Sus scrofa: one gene and its partners. The protein of the gene in region 2 interacts with the protein of the main gene of each other region in a pairwise test. Links are inferred from orthologs where the notes say so. Each region holds a gene or a part of one and is shown on either strand. Other genes may lie near its edges. The genes, in order: STK4, RASSF5 and MYLIP.

Region 1 (5,532 bases), on a different chromosome or scaffold from region 2:
GATGATGGAACGATCACAGAGACTTAATATTTTAAACCTGTGCAAAATTCAGGCTAAACGGTACACTGAGAACTCAATTCAATTAGTATGACCACTGGGTACTCCCAGTTCCTTTCCTCTGTGACTCGGTCTGTCACGCACAGAGTAAAGGGAAAGGAAACCGACGGGAGAGGAGAGGACGGCCCCCCACGAGGAACTGAGCACAGGCGTCAGGCCTCGGTCACAGGCCAAATAAAAAGGATCGGAAGAGGAAGAACAGCAGCAGAGATGGGTTTAAATTAGAAGAGCCTGGAAGGGACTCTTCAGTTGTCACATTCACCCTTAAGAGACTGACTGAGAATTGCTCAACCTGGGTCAGACAAACAGTTTGACGAAAACAGACTGAAAAGAGTATGTTTGATAAGTCATTCAGAATTTCCTAACACTTTGAATTACGCATCAAAACCTACATGCTCGCCTCCACAGATCACGGAAAAGAAAGAAAAAAATGCTAAGAGAATGGTCATGCAGGTCGGAAAGTCGATCCCTTCCTGTCGCCTGCCGACCTCTGACTCCACGTGCCAGCTTCCTCCCTCCCAGACCCTCCGCTGCGCCCCAACCTTCCAATGCTCTCTCACTCCTTTGGTTGTGGCAACAGAAAGGAGCTTCAGGACTGAGTCCGTGTGGACCACAGAACCTGCTTTCCCTGGATCGTGCGCGGCCTGCCTGCCAAGTTGGTCTAGTTAGTCAGAGCCTTACTTTTCATAGTGCCTTCCTCTTCCTCCTCCTCCGCATTGATCACCATGGTGCCCAGCTGGGACGGCAACGTGTCGTCGTGCTCGATCATGGTATTGGCTCCGTCACTCATGGTGCTGGCCACGCGGACGGTGCCCATCTCGTCCCCGGCGGCTCGGACCATCGTGCCAGAATCCATTTCATCCTCCTCCTGGAAGAGGATGAAATCTCAGATGAGGGCTAATTTGATCAAAATCTTACAGGGTTTCTGAATTACTCTTATTCATCCTGGTGCAAATATTTCTGATGTGACACTTAGATTCTAAACCCACCACGAAGAACCGAGAGCACTCTTTTTTTTTTTTTTCACACTGAACTATGGTTGATGTACGACACTCTATGTGTTACAAGTGTACAATACATGGATTCACAATTTTCACGAGTTAGACTCCATTGAGAGTACTCTTAACCAAAGAAGATCATAATTTATCCACATGAGAGCTGCACATCCAACCCTAAAGGGCCCTCTCCCTCTCCCCTTCCCTCTCCTTCTTAGTAACATGTTGTAACATTGACCCAAGGAGCTGAGTGCATACTCTTGGGATCTCAAGGGTGTGGGGGAGTCTCTAAGTGTAAAAATCTACCTATTCAGTATGGCTCCCAGATTCTCCAAATGGGTAAGGAAAACTCAGACTCAGCCCTGAGCATTCTCTCTCCTGAATAAAAAGTTAAACTGAAGAAAAGATATGAAGGCAAAAGAATAAAATGTGGAAGTGCCTCAGGAAGCGCTGTGAGAAGAACAAGCACAGATCCAGCAAGCCTCCAGCAAGCCCTGGTCCCGGACTGGACAGAGTCACTTGAAAAGAGTCTCCAGCTCCAGGTGGATCCTACATCCCCAACTCATCTCGCCTGGCCGGTAGTCATGAAATAACAAGCATGAATGCCCGAGGCCCACCACACTGCCTGCCACTCACTGAGTTTTCTTCATCGTCCTGGTCCACCTCCCGCTGCTGGGCTTCCTGGCGTTTCAGCTTCACGTCCATGGCTTCGTTAATTAAGTCCCGCAGTATGGACACTCCTTTGGCACTCTTGACAAATGGGTGCTTCAATAAGAAAGTGGAAGATGGTTTATATGGTAGAGTGCCAAACACTGCCTGGCACACAGCAGGTACTTGATGATTTCTGTTCAATCGGCCAGTGAATCTGTTTCTCTTTATGGTTTGGACATCAGCTAACTCATACTCGCTTTATAACTGAACAGATGCATTCATGCTTTACCCATCTTTTTTGGCTTGGCTAGAATGTTTCCTCCATTTCTCTGTGCAAACTCTAGGGATTCTCAGCAGGCTACTATCGCCCCCTAGAGGAAGTTCTGTAAACATGCTGGGAGCTTGTTTGGAGAACACAAACTACATGGAAGTGGGACAGGGGGCAGGGACACAAGCGATCCTGTGAAGTGTGGAACAATCTTATACAGCATTGAACTGTAACACATTCTGTACATCTTTCAAATGTGTCAGAGAACATATATACACTTTGATAAATAATACTGAAAAATTTTGGGGTGGTTTTGGAGGGGGGGCTTCAATGGAATAGAGACATTGTTTAGAAATCGCTGAATAGTTTACTCATCCTGTTTATTCTTTCTAGTCAATGTACTATAGAATTTCCAACTACGGATTTAGGTAAAAAGGATTTTAGTGCCGAAATGCAGTTCCTACAGAAATACTAAAACTGGTAACAAATATGTAACAGATGTAGGTCCAATATTATTCAATCTGCAAAGATGCTTGTGAATACTGCTGACTTTCATTTATAGAAATGGCTTAAAGTTTTTAATATTAATACCATCTTACGTTTGTATTACTGCCTTTTGTGACACAAATGATAAGAAATCTATGCTATGAAAGTTATGTCTGGAAATTTGGGGGGGGGGTTGCCTGCTGTTTTCCACACTTATTCTGACATTTGTCCCCAGTGTTCCTCTTTGCAATCACCACCCACCAGAGAATATGATTTCCAAGGTCTTTGCAAGTACTCTAGATATGTACAATAGCCTCACCATGTGGTGGGATAGAAATACAGGAGATATCTTTTCCATAAAACTGCATTAGCACCCCAGCCAGGTAGGAAAAGAATTCATCACTACTCTCAGAAATAAGACGCAGCTCATTTGCAAGAATATCAAATTTCCTTGTTCTCTCTACTGAGAAAGTCTTTAAGATCATTTCTCTACCTTATATATAAATGAGTCTGCTCTGCTATTACTTGACATTACAATTATGTTAGTGTCCCCTCCACTCATTTTCCTGGGTTTCTTGAAGGAAATGCTTTCTGTTCTCTCTGCTCTTCAATCTAAACTCATTTGTGATGCTAGGTACAGGTGTCTAATTACTTTATTATGTCTATAAGTTGAAAAGCTGGAGCATTTCTATATGGACACATATTTTATTATAAATTATTATCCTTATATTTCTCCATCACATCACAGGCATTACACTGATTCTTTTTAAATTATGGGTATAAGTAGATTTTATCATCTATGAGTTTCATGCCGGAAAGGTAAGGAATGTTTAAATAAAATGTATTGGTTGTAAAAAGGGGGCACTGGGTCTGATGTGACTGAAAACCATTATTGGGCATGGCCTGACACAACAGCAGATATTCATCAAATCCGTAATATACTGTATCTCCGATATGTGTAAAGAACTATTCGAAGTTACACATATGATATCACTTAATCCTAACATATGGAACAGGTACTTTACCTCTACTGTATAGACAGAGAGGTGCGGTTCCTCACTCAACGTCATAAAGCCAGTACGTAGAGAGCCAGGACTCCAACTTGGGCAACTGGGCTCCAGAATCCAAGCTCCTAACCACGAAGGATGCTGCCCGCCAAATCCCACCCATTCTTCAAAGCCCAAGCACAGAGGTCACCTCCTCCAGGAAAGCATTCCTCCGTATTTCCAGTCCAAAGTGGCCTCTTCCCACCCTGAGTTACAGCAGCACCTACCATTAATCCCAGTTCTTTGTCAGAATTGGGGACACTGAATCACTCCTGCTTTGGAATCAAAGAGACTACTTAGGTCCCATCCTGGCTCTGCTGTCTACCAGCTGAGTGGCTCTAAATGATTAACCTCTCCAAACCTCCATTTTCTCACCTATAAAAATAAATAATACCTATCTCTCACAGCGTGTATGTGATGATTAAATGGCATAATGTGGGAGTTCCCTGGTGGTCTAGTGATTAGGATTCAGTGCTTTCATCTCTGAGTGCTTTCATCTTCAGTAGCTCCATCCCTGGTCTGGGAACTGAGATCCTATGTCAAGCCACTGCAGCCATGGCCAAAAATTAATGAATTAATTAAAAATTAATCAATGGCATAACATGCAAAGTATGCACACAGTAGGTGCTCAATAAATGTCAATTAAAATTAATGGCACAACGTGCAAAATAGCACACAGTAGGTGCTCAATAAATGTCAATTCCTGCTTTCTAATTCCCACAGAGCACTGTATTTTCTTGCATTATTGTCTTGTTCAATGATCTCCCATTCTTTTCTATATCTTTTCTAAGCATTCACATTTAAACCTGCCTAGAGGCAGGGAATATCTTATACCATCTCCATGTAGGTGGGTTAACAGCATCTTTTGGTCAGCCTGTGAGTGAAACCGCTGCACCCCAGGCTGATTCCTACCTGGAGGAGTTGAGTGGCCGTGGCTCTCTGCTCAGGGCTCTTTACAAGACACTGCTTCACAAAATCCATGAAGCTATCTGACCACAGTTCTGGCTTTCGGAATGTGGGAGGTGGGTTGGTAGGAATCATGAAGATTGCCTAAAGAAAAAAAAAAAAAAAAAAAAAAAAAAAAAAGATTTGGCAAAGTGAAAGTGATGCTCCAATAAAAATATGACTAGAAATACATTGGAAGTTTGATGAAATGGTTTTTCTCTTCCCCACTATAAGCCCCCAAATTGCAATGAAAGTCTGAGTATCTCAAAGAAGGAAGTTATGACAATTAGAGAAGCTGATAGAGCTCTCCTTCCCCCTCTTCCTCCCTCTGATTTCCCTCTCTCTCTCTCCCTCTTTCATCTGTACTCTCGTCCCATAAACCTCACGATATCCAGCAAGCTTTTTGGGGGTTTTGCTGACCAAAGTACACTGCCACTCAAAGTGAAAAGGCAAGACCAAACATCAACATCTTGAAGAGAACCCCAGCCCTGTAGCTGTCAAGTTTCCCTCTTCCCTAAAAGTTACCACCACCCCTGGATATAATAAGTGACTGCAGAGTTCCCGTTGTGGCACAGCAGAAACAAATCCAGCTAGGAACCATGAGGTTGCAGGTTCGATCCCTGGCCTCCCTCAGTGGGTTAAGGATCCGAGGTTGCCGTGAGCTGTGGTCTAGGTCGAAGACACGGCTCGGGATTCCGCATTGCTGTGGCTGTGACATAGGCCAGAAGCTACAGCTCCGATTTAACCCCTAGCCTGGGAACCTCCAGAAGCCGTGTGTGCGGCCCTAAAAAGCAGAGAAAAAAAAAAGTGACTGAAAGGAGGTCATAAACCTAGAAGTCCCCCAAATCACAAGAGAGTCATCAGCCTCCAAGCCACATTAATTCTACATACTTGAAAAAAAATTGGCCTACTACATGGCAATTAAATTCTACTATTTCCAAAAAAAATAAAACTATAGGAAATACTGTAGGTTCAGTTCCAGACTGCTGCAATAGAGCAAATCACATGATTTTTTCGGTTTCCCAGTGCATATAACAGTTATGCTTCCCCTATACTGTAGTCTATTAAGTGTGCAATAGTTTTA
Region 2 (5,532 bases):
ATGGAGAGATTCAGTTGCACAGATGGACACAGACCGCCTGCTGACATGGAATTGAAAGAGGAGACAGGAGAACTTTCTCCTCTCCCCAGACACTCTCCCCTTTGGCAGCTGGTGGCAGCTCTCACTCCTGCTTCCCACTTGGCATCCGCAGAGCATTCTTCATCGCTCAGAGCGTGGCCAGGAGCTGCACAGGTGTGTCCCGGAGTGGAGCCGGGAACAATGCTGCCCTGTGTGGGTTCTGGCCTTGGCGCTCCCTTATCAAAGCCCTGGCATTTCTGGGCACTGTGGGCAGGGAGACTTGGCCTGCACAACCCCCCGTGCCCTTCACCCGGTGCCTGGGTCTCCTGCTGGGGGCCCAGGAATGCGAGTGGCTGCTGGCAGGGGTGCGGTCCTCCACCCACCCCATCTCCAGTGGGAGCACAGCTTCTCGGGAGAAGAATCAGGAAGTCTAGGCAAGGTTGGGGTCTGAAGGAGGGGATGTCAGTGGACTTGACCTGCAGGCACAGGGGAGGTGAGCGGTAGGGCTTCTAAATGCCACCCTAGGAAGGTGGTCAGGACTTCAGACCATTGAGTCAGAGGGTTGCTGGGTTCTGGGATCCCTTCCTGTCCCTGCATTGGCCAGGCGCTCCCCTGAAAGTATTAAGATCAAGAAATGTGAGCCGGGTGCTCATCCTTGGGGAGGTAAGAAAGGGGGCAGCTGGGGAAAGTGGGGTTCTCCTTCCAAAACGCTCCAAAAGAGTGGGGAGACCCACCCACTGCCACCCTAAGAAAGACTGTGCTACAGCAGCTTTAAAAAGATGATCCAGGGAGTTCCTGTTGTGGTGTAGCAAAAACAAATCCAACTAGTATCCATGAGGATGTGGGTTCGATCCCTGGCCTCGCTCAGTGGGTTAAGGATCTGGCGTTGCTGTGAGCTGTGGTGCAGGTCGCAGACAGCGCTTGAATCCCTTGTTGCTGTGGCTGTGGTGTAGGCCAGCAGCTGTAGCTCCGATTGGACCCCTAGCCTGGGAACCTCCATATGCCGCGGGAGCGGCCCTAAAAAACAAAAACAACAACAAAAAGAGGGTCCCCAGGTGCTGTGGTTCTGGAGCTTGTTAAAAGGAAGGAAAAGAGGGAGCTCCTTGGTGGCCTAACAGTTTGACCCCTGGAACTTCTACATGCGGCAGGTGTGGCCCAAAAAAAAAAAGGGGAGGGGGGAGTTCCCTTCATGGCTCAGTGGTTAACGAATCCGACTAGGAACCATGAGGTTGCAGGTTCGATCCCTGGCCTTGCTCAGTGGGTTAAGGATCTGGCATTGCTGTGGCTGTTGGTGTAGGCTGGCAGCTACAGCTCCGATTGGACTCCTAGCCTGGGAACCTCCATATGCCGCAGGAATGGCCCAAGAAATGGCAAAAAGACAAAAAAAAAAAAAAAAAAAAAGGAAGGAAAAGAGTGTCAGGAGACTGAGCCCAACATAAAGCTGTCCCTTCGTCCCCAGATTATCCAGACATGTCCAGGCTGTCTCCTGCCACAAGCCCTGCCCACCCCAGCCCACCCCTATGTACCGGGTGACACGGTCCAGCAACCTTCTCATTAAGACTCTGGCAGCCTCCCTCAGCAGGGCCTTCTGGCTGAGCTGTGGCACCTCCAGGGCTGGTGACCCTGATGGGCCCAGCAGCTTCTGTGGGAACCAACCTCCAGCCTGAGCCTTGTGCCTGCTGATGGGCTTGGACGGATTTCTTTCACTGCCAACCTTTTTTTCTCTCCCATCCTCCCTGCCTTCACCTGCCCCAACCTCCCGGCCTCCTGTCCCCTTCAACTTCACCTCCCTTCTGCCAAGGAGGCTTCAGAGAGGGCCCTTGGGGAAGCTGGAAACTGCTTGCAACCTTGGCTGTGCCACTGAGCCGTGTGTCATTGGGCACCGTGCTTTACCTCTCTGGGCCTCAGTTTCCCCATCTCTGAGGTAACCCCCCATGGTCTGCTGAACACTGGTCATTGTCTTACTTCCATGGATGTGAAACAAATGTGTGCTTTCCTCCAAAGCCTCATTTGGAATGTTGTCTGCAGGCCATGTCAGCCAAGTTAGAGGAGCCACCTCGCATTTCTAGATGGCACTGTGTCAGAGAGACGTGACAGCCCTTCCTGTTGGTGATCATGCCTTTGTCCCTGGAGAAACCTTTAATTTGTTGGGGTTCTTTTTGTTTTTTGGGTATTTTGTTTTGTTTTGTTTTTTGTCTTTTTAGAGCCTTACCTGTGGCATATGGAGGTTCCCAGGCTAGGGGTCTAATCGGAGCTATAGCTGCCAGCTTATGCCACAGCCACAGCAATGCAGGATCTGAGCCGCGTCTTCGACCTACACCACAGCTCATGGCACGCTGGATCTTTAACCCACTGAGAAAAGCCAGGGATCGAACCTGCAACCTCATGGTTCCTAGTCGGGTTCATTTCTGCTGCGCCACAACACAGGAACTCCCACCTTTAATTTGTTAAGACCCGTTCTCCTCTATAACTGTAATCATCCTTGTGCACCAGGCAGGGCCATTATTACCTGTTTTACAGCCTGCAAAACAAGGCCAGGAAAAGTTAAGTTCTTCCACAGGGATTGGGGCCTCTGATGATTAACATCAATTAGTAGAAAGAGCACCAGCCTGAAGCCAGATGATCTGCCCTTGAGAAAGTCACCCTAGGCCCCAGTTTCCTGTCGGCAAAGTGGCGGTAATCATGGTTGCAGGGTCACACACAATAATGGAGGTGGAAACAGTTTACATACTGGGAGCTCCCATTGTGGCTCAGAGGTCATGAACCCAACTCGTATCCATGAGGATGTAGGTTCAATCCTGGCCTTGCTCAGTGGGTTAAGGATCCGGCGTTGCCATGAGCTGTGGTGGAGATGGCAGATGTGACTTGGATCTGGAGTGGCTGTGGATGAGGCTGTGATGAAGGTCCACAGCTGCAGCTCTGATTTGACCCCTGGCCTGGGAACCTCCATGTGCTATGGGTACAGCCCTAAAAAGAAGAGGAAGACAAAAACAAAAAGGAGATTGCAAATTCTAAACAAAAACTAGATTGCAAACTGTAAAGCACCTATTCACCTTCCCTACTCATGGTAGTTCAGAGAGAGCGAGTCATTCTCATGGTGTTCTTCCCCCTCCACCGCCCTCCAGGAGCTACATGCCGCCTCCCAGGGCCTTTTTCTGGGCCTCCTGTCTGGCCCCTAATCCCTCTGCGGTTCTCTCCCTCCAGACTGCAAATTCACCTGCCACCCTGAGTGCCGCAGCCTGATCCAGCTGGACTGCAGTCAGCAGGAAGGCTCCTCCCAGGACAGACCCTCTCCAGAAAGCACCCTCACTGCAACCTTCAGCCAGGTAGGCGGGAGGGCTCGAGCTCCAGGTTGGCGACAGCCTCCTGAGGTGCCCCCAGGTTCCCCTGTCCCTCCCAGGGGCTCTGGGGAGCATGGGTGGCGAGAGTGTTCCATGTACGCTGGATGTTGGGGGTCCCCTTCTGGCCAGTTGGGGTCCATAGCACACTCTTCGAGTCTGCGCCCAGTTCCAATGTGGGGGGTTTCCCCACACCACCACCCTCTGACACCCAGTGGGTGCCCTGTAGTTCAGCTCAGTGCTGTACTCTGCACCCCCCACCCACCACCTCAGATACCAGTTGTAAGAGTATGTTGTCACCCATGCTTCGGACCAACAGGCTGTAGGTGGGAGGTTGCCACAGCTCTGTCTTTGGGCTCAATGCATTTGTTAGAGCAGCTCACAGAACTCAAAGAAACATTTGAAACTTACTAGATCGCCAGTTTATTATAAAAGGATATAACTCAGGAGCAACCAGATGGAAGAGATGCAGAGGGCCAGGTGGGGGAGGTGCACAAACTTTCATGTCCTCTCCAGAGGTGCCCTCCCTGCTCCTCCCCATGTTTCCCAACCCAGAAGCTCTCTGAGCCCCAAACTTCCAGGACCTTACAGAGGCTTCATTATACAGACATGATTGATCAAATTGTTGGCCATTGGCGATTGATCCACCCTCCGGCCTCTCTCTGTTCCCCAGAGGTCAGGGGCGTCCATCTGAAAGTTCTAATCCTCTCATACTTGGTTGGTTCTCCTGGCAACTAGCCTGCATCCTTAGGTGGGATCCAAAAGTCACCTCATGGAATTCCCATCTTGACTTAATGGTTAACGAACCAGAATAGTATCCATGAGGACGTGGGCTCAATCCCTTCCCTTGCTCAGTGGGCTAAGGATCTGGTGTTGCCATGAGTTACGGTGTGGGTTACAGATGTGGCTCGGATCCCACATTGCTGTGGCTGTGGTGTAGCTACAGTAGCTACAGCTCCAATTCAACCTCTAGCTGGGAACCTCCACATGCCATAGGTGCGGCCCTAAAAAGACAAAAGACAAAAAAAATTTAAAAATAAAACCGACAATTTTAATTTTAAAGAAGTCACCTCGGAATTCCTGTCATGGCTCAGTGGTTAACGAATCCAACTAGGAACCATGAGGTTGCAGGTTCGATCCCTGGCCTTGCTCAGTGGGTTAAGGATCTGGCGTTGCCATGAGCTGTGGTGTAGGTTGCAGACGCGGCTCGGATCCTGTGTTGCTGTGGCTCTGGCGTAGGCCGGCAGCTACAGCTCCGATTCAACCCCTAGCCTGGGAACCTCCATATGCCTCGGGAACAGCCCAAGAAATGGCAAAAAGACCAAAAAAAAAAAAAAAAAAAAAAGTCACCTCATTAACATCACAAGAAATACCTTTGGTGCTCTCATCATTTAAGAAGTTCCATTGTGCCAAAAATGGAGACAGAGATCAAATGTGTATATCTCTGATTATTAATCACAGTATCAGAGTTCTCGTTGTGGCACAGCAAAAACAAATCCGACTAGGATCCACGAGGATGCAGGTTCAGTCCCTGGCCTCGCTCAGTGGGTTAAGGATCTGATGCTGCCTTGAGCTGTGGTGTAGGTCACAGACGAGGCTCAGATCTGGCATTGCTGTGGCTGTAGGCCAGTAGCTACAGCTCCGAATCGACCCCTAGCCTGGGAACCTCCATATGCCGAAAGTGTGTCCCTAAAAAAAAAAGGCAAAAAAAAAAAAAATCACAGTGTCACACATCCTTTCCAAGAGGCTGGGGAAGCGGAATAGCATCGGTGACACAGGGAAGCCTGTCATTATTCAGAAGTGCCCTCCCTGTGGCCCACTCCAAGCACAGAACCTGTTTTGGCCTAAGGCTCCAGCCATAGGTGTGGGTATGGTCAATCCCAGAGAAAGCTCCTGGGGATCCTCAGAGGCCTCCGAGCCCTGGGGCAGTGGGGATGCTGGGGCTGAGGCTTCTGGGCACATTGTCCTGCCAGCCAGACCAGATCAACGTCAGAGGGCCTGGACAGATGTCCTTTCTCTGCGTCAAAGGACCAGGAAGTTGATGCCCAAAACAGCTCTTGGTCTGGGCTTTGCCAAGGCACCTGAACCAGGATGTGTTTGATTTTTGATGTCAAGGATTTGGGAGGAAGACAGGAGAGCATTGTTTTATATGTGTGTGTGTGTATATATAGATATA
Region 3 (5,532 bases), on a different chromosome or scaffold from region 2:
GAGGCACTAACAAAGTCAGCTTACGTGCAGCTAAATGTGCTGGAAGTTAGAACGTGTCAGATATAATAGAAGAATAAATAGTTTGCATGTGATAGAGACAAAAGGGTATCTAAATTGAGGGGGCAGAAAGAGTGGCCTTCAGGACAGAGAAAATAGCAAGAACAGAGACGTGGGGGTGCGAACATGCTCGGTGTTTCCAGGAAGAGGAATTGTCCCTTTCCTGGGGTACATAGTGGCTGGAAGGAATGACAGGAGATGTGGCTGGAAATCTGGGGCCGGATGTGGAGAAGCCAAAGTTCATGTTGACACTGTGCTTTCCAGGCAAACAGTGGGGATTCTTTGAATGGCTCTGAGCAGAGAAATGATAGGTTTGTGCCTGAAGCAAGCAGCCGGGAAGATGGATTAGCACAGAGTCCAGAAGGGAGATCAGCTTAAAGGATATTGTAAATTCTGACAGTTGAGAGCTGCAAGTAGGACAAAGGATGTGAAAAAATGGGAAAAATGAACTGGATTTAAAGAGTTTTCAGAGACAGAAAGAAGGTAGAGAAGTAAGATGAAGAGTCAGAAGTGAGTCCGTGCGTGGTAAAAATGACGAGTCAGTCTCTGGTTTCCATTGGGAGAAAACGTAGGTTTGAGAAGGAAGACAGTTTGGTTTTGAACGAGGTGAAATTTGGGTACTGAAGAAGATCCAGTGGAGAAATCTGTAAGCACTTGGACATTTGAATATGATCCTTAGGAGAAAGTGAGCCTTAAAACTAGTGAGTTGAGGAGTTCCTGTCATGGCTCAGTGGTTAACGAATCCGACCAGGAACCATGGGGTTGCGGGTTCAATCCCTGACCTCATTCAGTGGGTTGAGGATCCTGCTTTGCTGTGGCTGAGGTGTAGGCCGGCAGCTACAGCTCTGATTCGACCCCTAGCCTGTGAACCTCCATGTGCCGCAGGTGTGGCCCTAAAAAAGACAAAAAACAAACAAACAAAACAAAACAAAAAAAAGCAACCTGGAGAGTTGAGGGTCATTTGAATAAAGGATCTTAAGAGATCAATTCCACATCAAGATAAAGTTTTTCTGATTAAGATAATTTCTTTGAAAAAGTATAATGAAGCAAACATCATGTATATAATTATTTTACATTTTGTAACTTGACTGTTAACTGAACTTGTCTTAGATTTGTGTTGTTCGGGTTAAATTTTTTATTCCAGAGAAACTTAATCCTTATACTTATTTTCTGCCTTAATACTCAGGATTTATTGAAAAACTCTTTAATGGTAAGCATTTTCAAGGTAGCTTTCTTCCTGGTTCTGCTTTCCTTACTCGAAAGGGATTAGGAAATGGCTAAGCAGGTTAAGTCTGACACCAGGTGAGTCCCCCAGCATAACCCCATTCTTGTGTTGCTTTGCAGGCATATCTTTTTCTTGCACATCAAGGAGGCCCTCCTGGCAGGCCACCTCCAGTGTTCCCCAGAGCAGGCAGTGGAACTCAGTGCTCTCTTGGCCCAGACCAAGTTTGGGGACTACAACCAGAACACGGCCAAGTACAGCTATGAGGAACTGTGTGCCAAGGAGCTCTCCAGTGCCACCTTGAACAGGTGAGGCTGCAGTTCAGGCTCGTGTTTATCATCATATATCTAGAAAACTTATAAGAATTTCCAGGAAAAAATAAAACTATGGTAGATGAAGATAGTTTGTGAGGTTGAGACTAGACCATTGCCCAGTATAACGAGCTGTTTTCAAAGTGTTCTTAGCCTTTTTGGGGGGGAGACTTAAAAACACAAATAAATGCCTTTATATGAAATGCTATATAAAAGGAATTCTAAAAATCTCTGACCTTTGAAGAATCTCTTAAAAAGTCTATCACGTAGGGAGTTCCCATCCTGGCTCAGTGCTAACGAACCAACTATTATCCATGAGGATGCGGGTTCAATCCCTGGCCTCACTCAGTGGGTTAAGGATCTGGCATTGCTGTGAGCTGCAGTGTAAGTCATAGACATGGCTCAGATTCCGAGTTGCTATGGCTGTGGTGTAGGCCAGCAGCTGCAGCTCCGATTCCATTTGACCCTGTAGCCTGGGAACTTCCATATGCCAGAGGTGTGGCCCTAACAAGCAAAAAAAAGTCTATCATGTGTGTTGGTATTTTCTTTATTGAACCAAGGTTTAAACCAAGAGACCTAACATAGGTGTCTTGCTTCTATTCTTGGGTAACAATTTACCCCCAAAACTTAATACCTCAAAACAACAAACATCATCCCACAGTTCTTTGTGTCAGGGATCTGACCACAGGCTGGGTTCTCTGGTTCCAGGTCTCTCAGGAGGCTGCAGTCAGTACCGGTGGGGTTCAGTCTCATCTGAAGGCTTAACTGAGAGAGGGATCTGCTTCCATTTCAGCTCAGGTAGCTTGTTAGTTGGCCTGTGCTCTCACCACAGGGGCCTCTCCAGGGTTCCGGTTGGCTTCCCCTAGGACAGGGAATCCAAGTCAGAGCAAATACCCAAGACAGAGTCAAAGACTCTATAACTTAATCTCATCCCATCACTTCTGCCCTGTTGTGCTCTTTAGAAGCAAGTCATTAATCCACCCCGCATTCAAGTGAAGGAAATTACACGAAGGTATGGACACAGGAGGTGGAGATCTTTAAGGACTATATTAGGGACTCTCCACTCCAATAGATACAGTGAATCCTGCATGTTTCAGTTGCAAATGATCTGATCAATCCCATAAAATGCTATAGAGTAATGAAACTTAGAAAGTAAATGTAAACAAATGCATGAGACCTTCCTACCTATAAATTTCTTATGTATATGTTTACAGATTTTCCATAATTCTTTCAAGTCACCCCCAGTAGTTTTTTTCTCCTAAATATTTAGTAGTTGAAATCTTGAACAGTGTCTTAGAAGTACTTTACAATAAGCTTGCTAAATAGATGGAACATCAAAAGTATATAGCTGTAAGTTTTTGTGATTCATAAATGACAGGGTGAGTATAATTCACTAAGTGAAAATGATGCAGATTTCTCTCCAGACTATATCAGTTAATCTGTCTGTACATCTCTCTGCCCTCTTGGTGTCTTGTAGCATCGTGGCAAAGCATAAAGAGTTGGAGGGGACCAGCCAGGCTTCGGCTGAATACCAAGTTTTGCAGATTGTATCAGCGATGGAAAACTATGGCATAGAATGGCATTCCGTGAGGGACAGCGAAGGGCAGAAACTCCTCATTGGGGTTGGACCTGAAGGAATCTCAATTTGTAAAGACGACTTTTGCCCCATTAACAGGTAACCCAAGACTGAAAAAAATTTTTTTTTGTGTGTGTGTTTTTGTCTTTTCTAGGGCTGCTCCTGTGGCATATGGAGGTTCCCAGGCTGGGGGTCTAATCGGAGCTGTAGCCACCAGCCTACACCACAGCCACAGCAACTCAGGATCAAAGCCACGTCTGCAACCTACACCACAACTCACGGCAACGCCAGATCCTTAACCCACTGAGCGAGGCTAGGGATCGAACCCACAACCTCATGGTTCCTAGTTGGATTCGTTAACCACTGAGCCGTGACAGGAACTCCAAGACTGAAATTTTGTTTCGACCTAAGTGTGTAGACTGTCGTAACTCTGATCATGCAAACAGGAAATGGAGAGGGATTTGCTAGACAGTCGTCCTTTAGGAATAACATGTTTCATTTTTGGTAGGTTCATTAATTTTATTGAGGCCTTGATAACCATTCAATTTTTTTTTTTTTAAATATAAGTTCAAGTGTAGGGATGTGGCAAAGCTACTATTTTTCAAATAAGTCATTTGTGGCTATAAATAGCTCATTTCACCTACACCCCCCCTCCAAAACTCGCTCCAGCAGCCTCTCCACTTCCCCCCTGCTGCTTGTCAGCAAGAATCAATGACTGGGAGCAGCGCTTCTATGATGGTCTCCGGCCCCGCATCAGATGGAACGGCGATCTGAAGCCGTGAGGGCCCTGCAGAGGGGCGCATGAAGCGTGGTCCCCTGGCCCCACCCCTGGCTCGCTCACTTTCCTCTTCCCGCCTTTCAGGATCGCTTACCCTGTGGTGCAGATGGCGACTCAGTCGGGAAAGAATGTGTACCTGACCGTCACCAAGGAGTCTGGGAACAGCATCGTGCTCTTGTTTAAGATGATCAGCACCAGGGCAGCCAGCGGGCTGTACCGAGCCATCACCGAGACGCACGCTTTTTACAGGCACGTACCCCTGTTCACCCTGTAGCCCCAGTGTCTGCCCATAGCACTCGGGTTTCCAGGTGAGGGCGAGGCACCTTCAGTTCCTGGTACCGTTGTGTCCATGAACCTTGTACAGAATTTAAGAAGTCAGCTCTTTTTGGACCCTTCGTTTCTGCCCTAGCAGTTGGGTCTTTCTCATAATCACCCTGCTTCTCAGGACATGTATGCGCGCGTGCGTGCGTGCCTGCGTGCGTGTGTGTGTGTGTACACTTGCCTGCACAGACACATTTCACTCTTAGCTCATTCCTCACAGCTCCCCCTCCCCAAGGGAACTTGAGTGTATGGGCCTGTTGAGCTTCAGCTTTGCCCTCTCCCCACAGGATATCCCCAAGTCACCTTTCCTTCCTGAGAGAGCTTGCTGGGCCAGCAGACGCTCGCCCTCTAAGTGGATTGGAAGGGTCTCTCTGTAACTATATTGATACCCTCATTTCTGAGGGTGCTTTAAAGTAGAGTTGTGATTTGACTCAAATGTTAGCACAATTAAAAGCTAAGATATTTAATTGGCAGGCAACCCAAGCCCTTTATTTATGTTAAAAGAGACACAGTGTGGAGCAGGATGGAAAATGTGTAGAAAAATTTTAACACAAATCCAGGACTTCAAAGAAAAATGTCCTTGTTCTTGCCATAAGCTGCTTTGCACTGTAGCTCCTATCCCTGGAGATGGAGATGCTCTCTGGGTTTACAGCTCCCTGATCAGAGGTCCTTGTACTGGGGACTCTGGAGGAGCATAGAGGTGGGATTATTCCGATACTTAAGACGTAAAACTGGAAGAATTTACTTGCAAGCACCCAAACAGGCATATTAAACGCTGACACAAATGTTCTCGTTCTCAGCAGCATTTAAGGCCTGGATCGCAGGGCTGCCCAGGCCTGTCAGTACTGAGGTGGGTGTTCCATCTCTGTCCGCAGGTGCGACACAGTGACCAGTGCCGTCATGATGCAGTACAGCCGAGACCTGAAGGGCCACCTGGCTTCTCTGTTTCTGAACGAAAACATTAACCTGGGCAAGAAGTATGTCTTCGATATTAAAAGAACCTCAAAGGAGGTATATGACCACGCCAGGAGGGCTCTGTACAACGCAGGCGTGATGGACCTCTTACCAAGAAGCGACCACAGCCCCCCGAGTTCTCCCCTAAAGTCCTCCGAGAGCAGCATGAACTGCAGCAGCTGCGAGGGCCTCAGCTGCCAGCAGACGCGGGCCCTCCAGGAGGAGCTGCGCAAGCTGAAGGAGGCCATGCTCTGCATGCTGTGCTGTGAGGGCGAGATCAACTCGGCCTTCTGCCCCTGCGGCCACACTGTGT

What was found.
Region 1: the proteins of RASSF5 (region 2) and STK4 interact in binary tests that used the Homo sapiens proteins (3 or more experiments, as listed by UniProt). The link is inferred for Sus scrofa from reciprocal best matches to the Homo sapiens genes RASSF5 and STK4.
Region 3: the proteins of RASSF5 (region 2) and MYLIP interact in binary tests that used the Homo sapiens proteins (3 or more experiments, as listed by UniProt). The two-hybrid records come from large-scale screens. The link is inferred for Sus scrofa from reciprocal best matches to the Homo sapiens genes RASSF5 and MYLIP.

What each region holds. Positions count from the first base shown.
Region 1 is NC_010459.5:47,410,916-47,416,447, reverse strand, and holds part of STK4 (serine/threonine-protein kinase 4), read right to left. Parts: intron 4,554-5,532; coding exon 4,416-4,553; intron 1,818-4,415; coding exon 1,689-1,817; intron 926-1,688; coding exon 739-925; intron 1-738. UniProt on the Homo sapiens protein: Stress-activated, pro-apoptotic kinase which, following caspase-cleavage, enters the nucleus and induces chromatin condensation followed by internucleosomal DNA fragmentation.
Region 2 is NC_010451.4:67,180,542-67,186,073, forward strand, and holds part of RASSF5 (ras association domain-containing protein 5), read left to right. Parts: intron 1-3,222; coding exon 3,223-3,344; intron 3,345-5,532. UniProt on the Homo sapiens protein: Potential tumor suppressor. Seems to be involved in lymphocyte adhesion by linking RAP1A activation upon T-cell receptor or chemokine stimulation to integrin activation.
Region 3 is NC_010449.5:12,129,442-12,134,973, forward strand, and holds part of MYLIP (E3 ubiquitin-protein ligase MYLIP), read left to right. Parts: intron 1-1,401; coding exon 1,402-1,587; intron 1,588-3,067; coding exon 3,068-3,265; intron 3,266-4,028; coding exon 4,029-4,193; intron 4,194-5,140; coding exon 5,141-5,532. UniProt on the Homo sapiens protein: E3 ubiquitin-protein ligase that mediates ubiquitination and subsequent proteasomal degradation of myosin regulatory light chain (MRLC), LDLR, VLDLR and LRP8. Activity depends on E2 enzymes of the UBE2D family.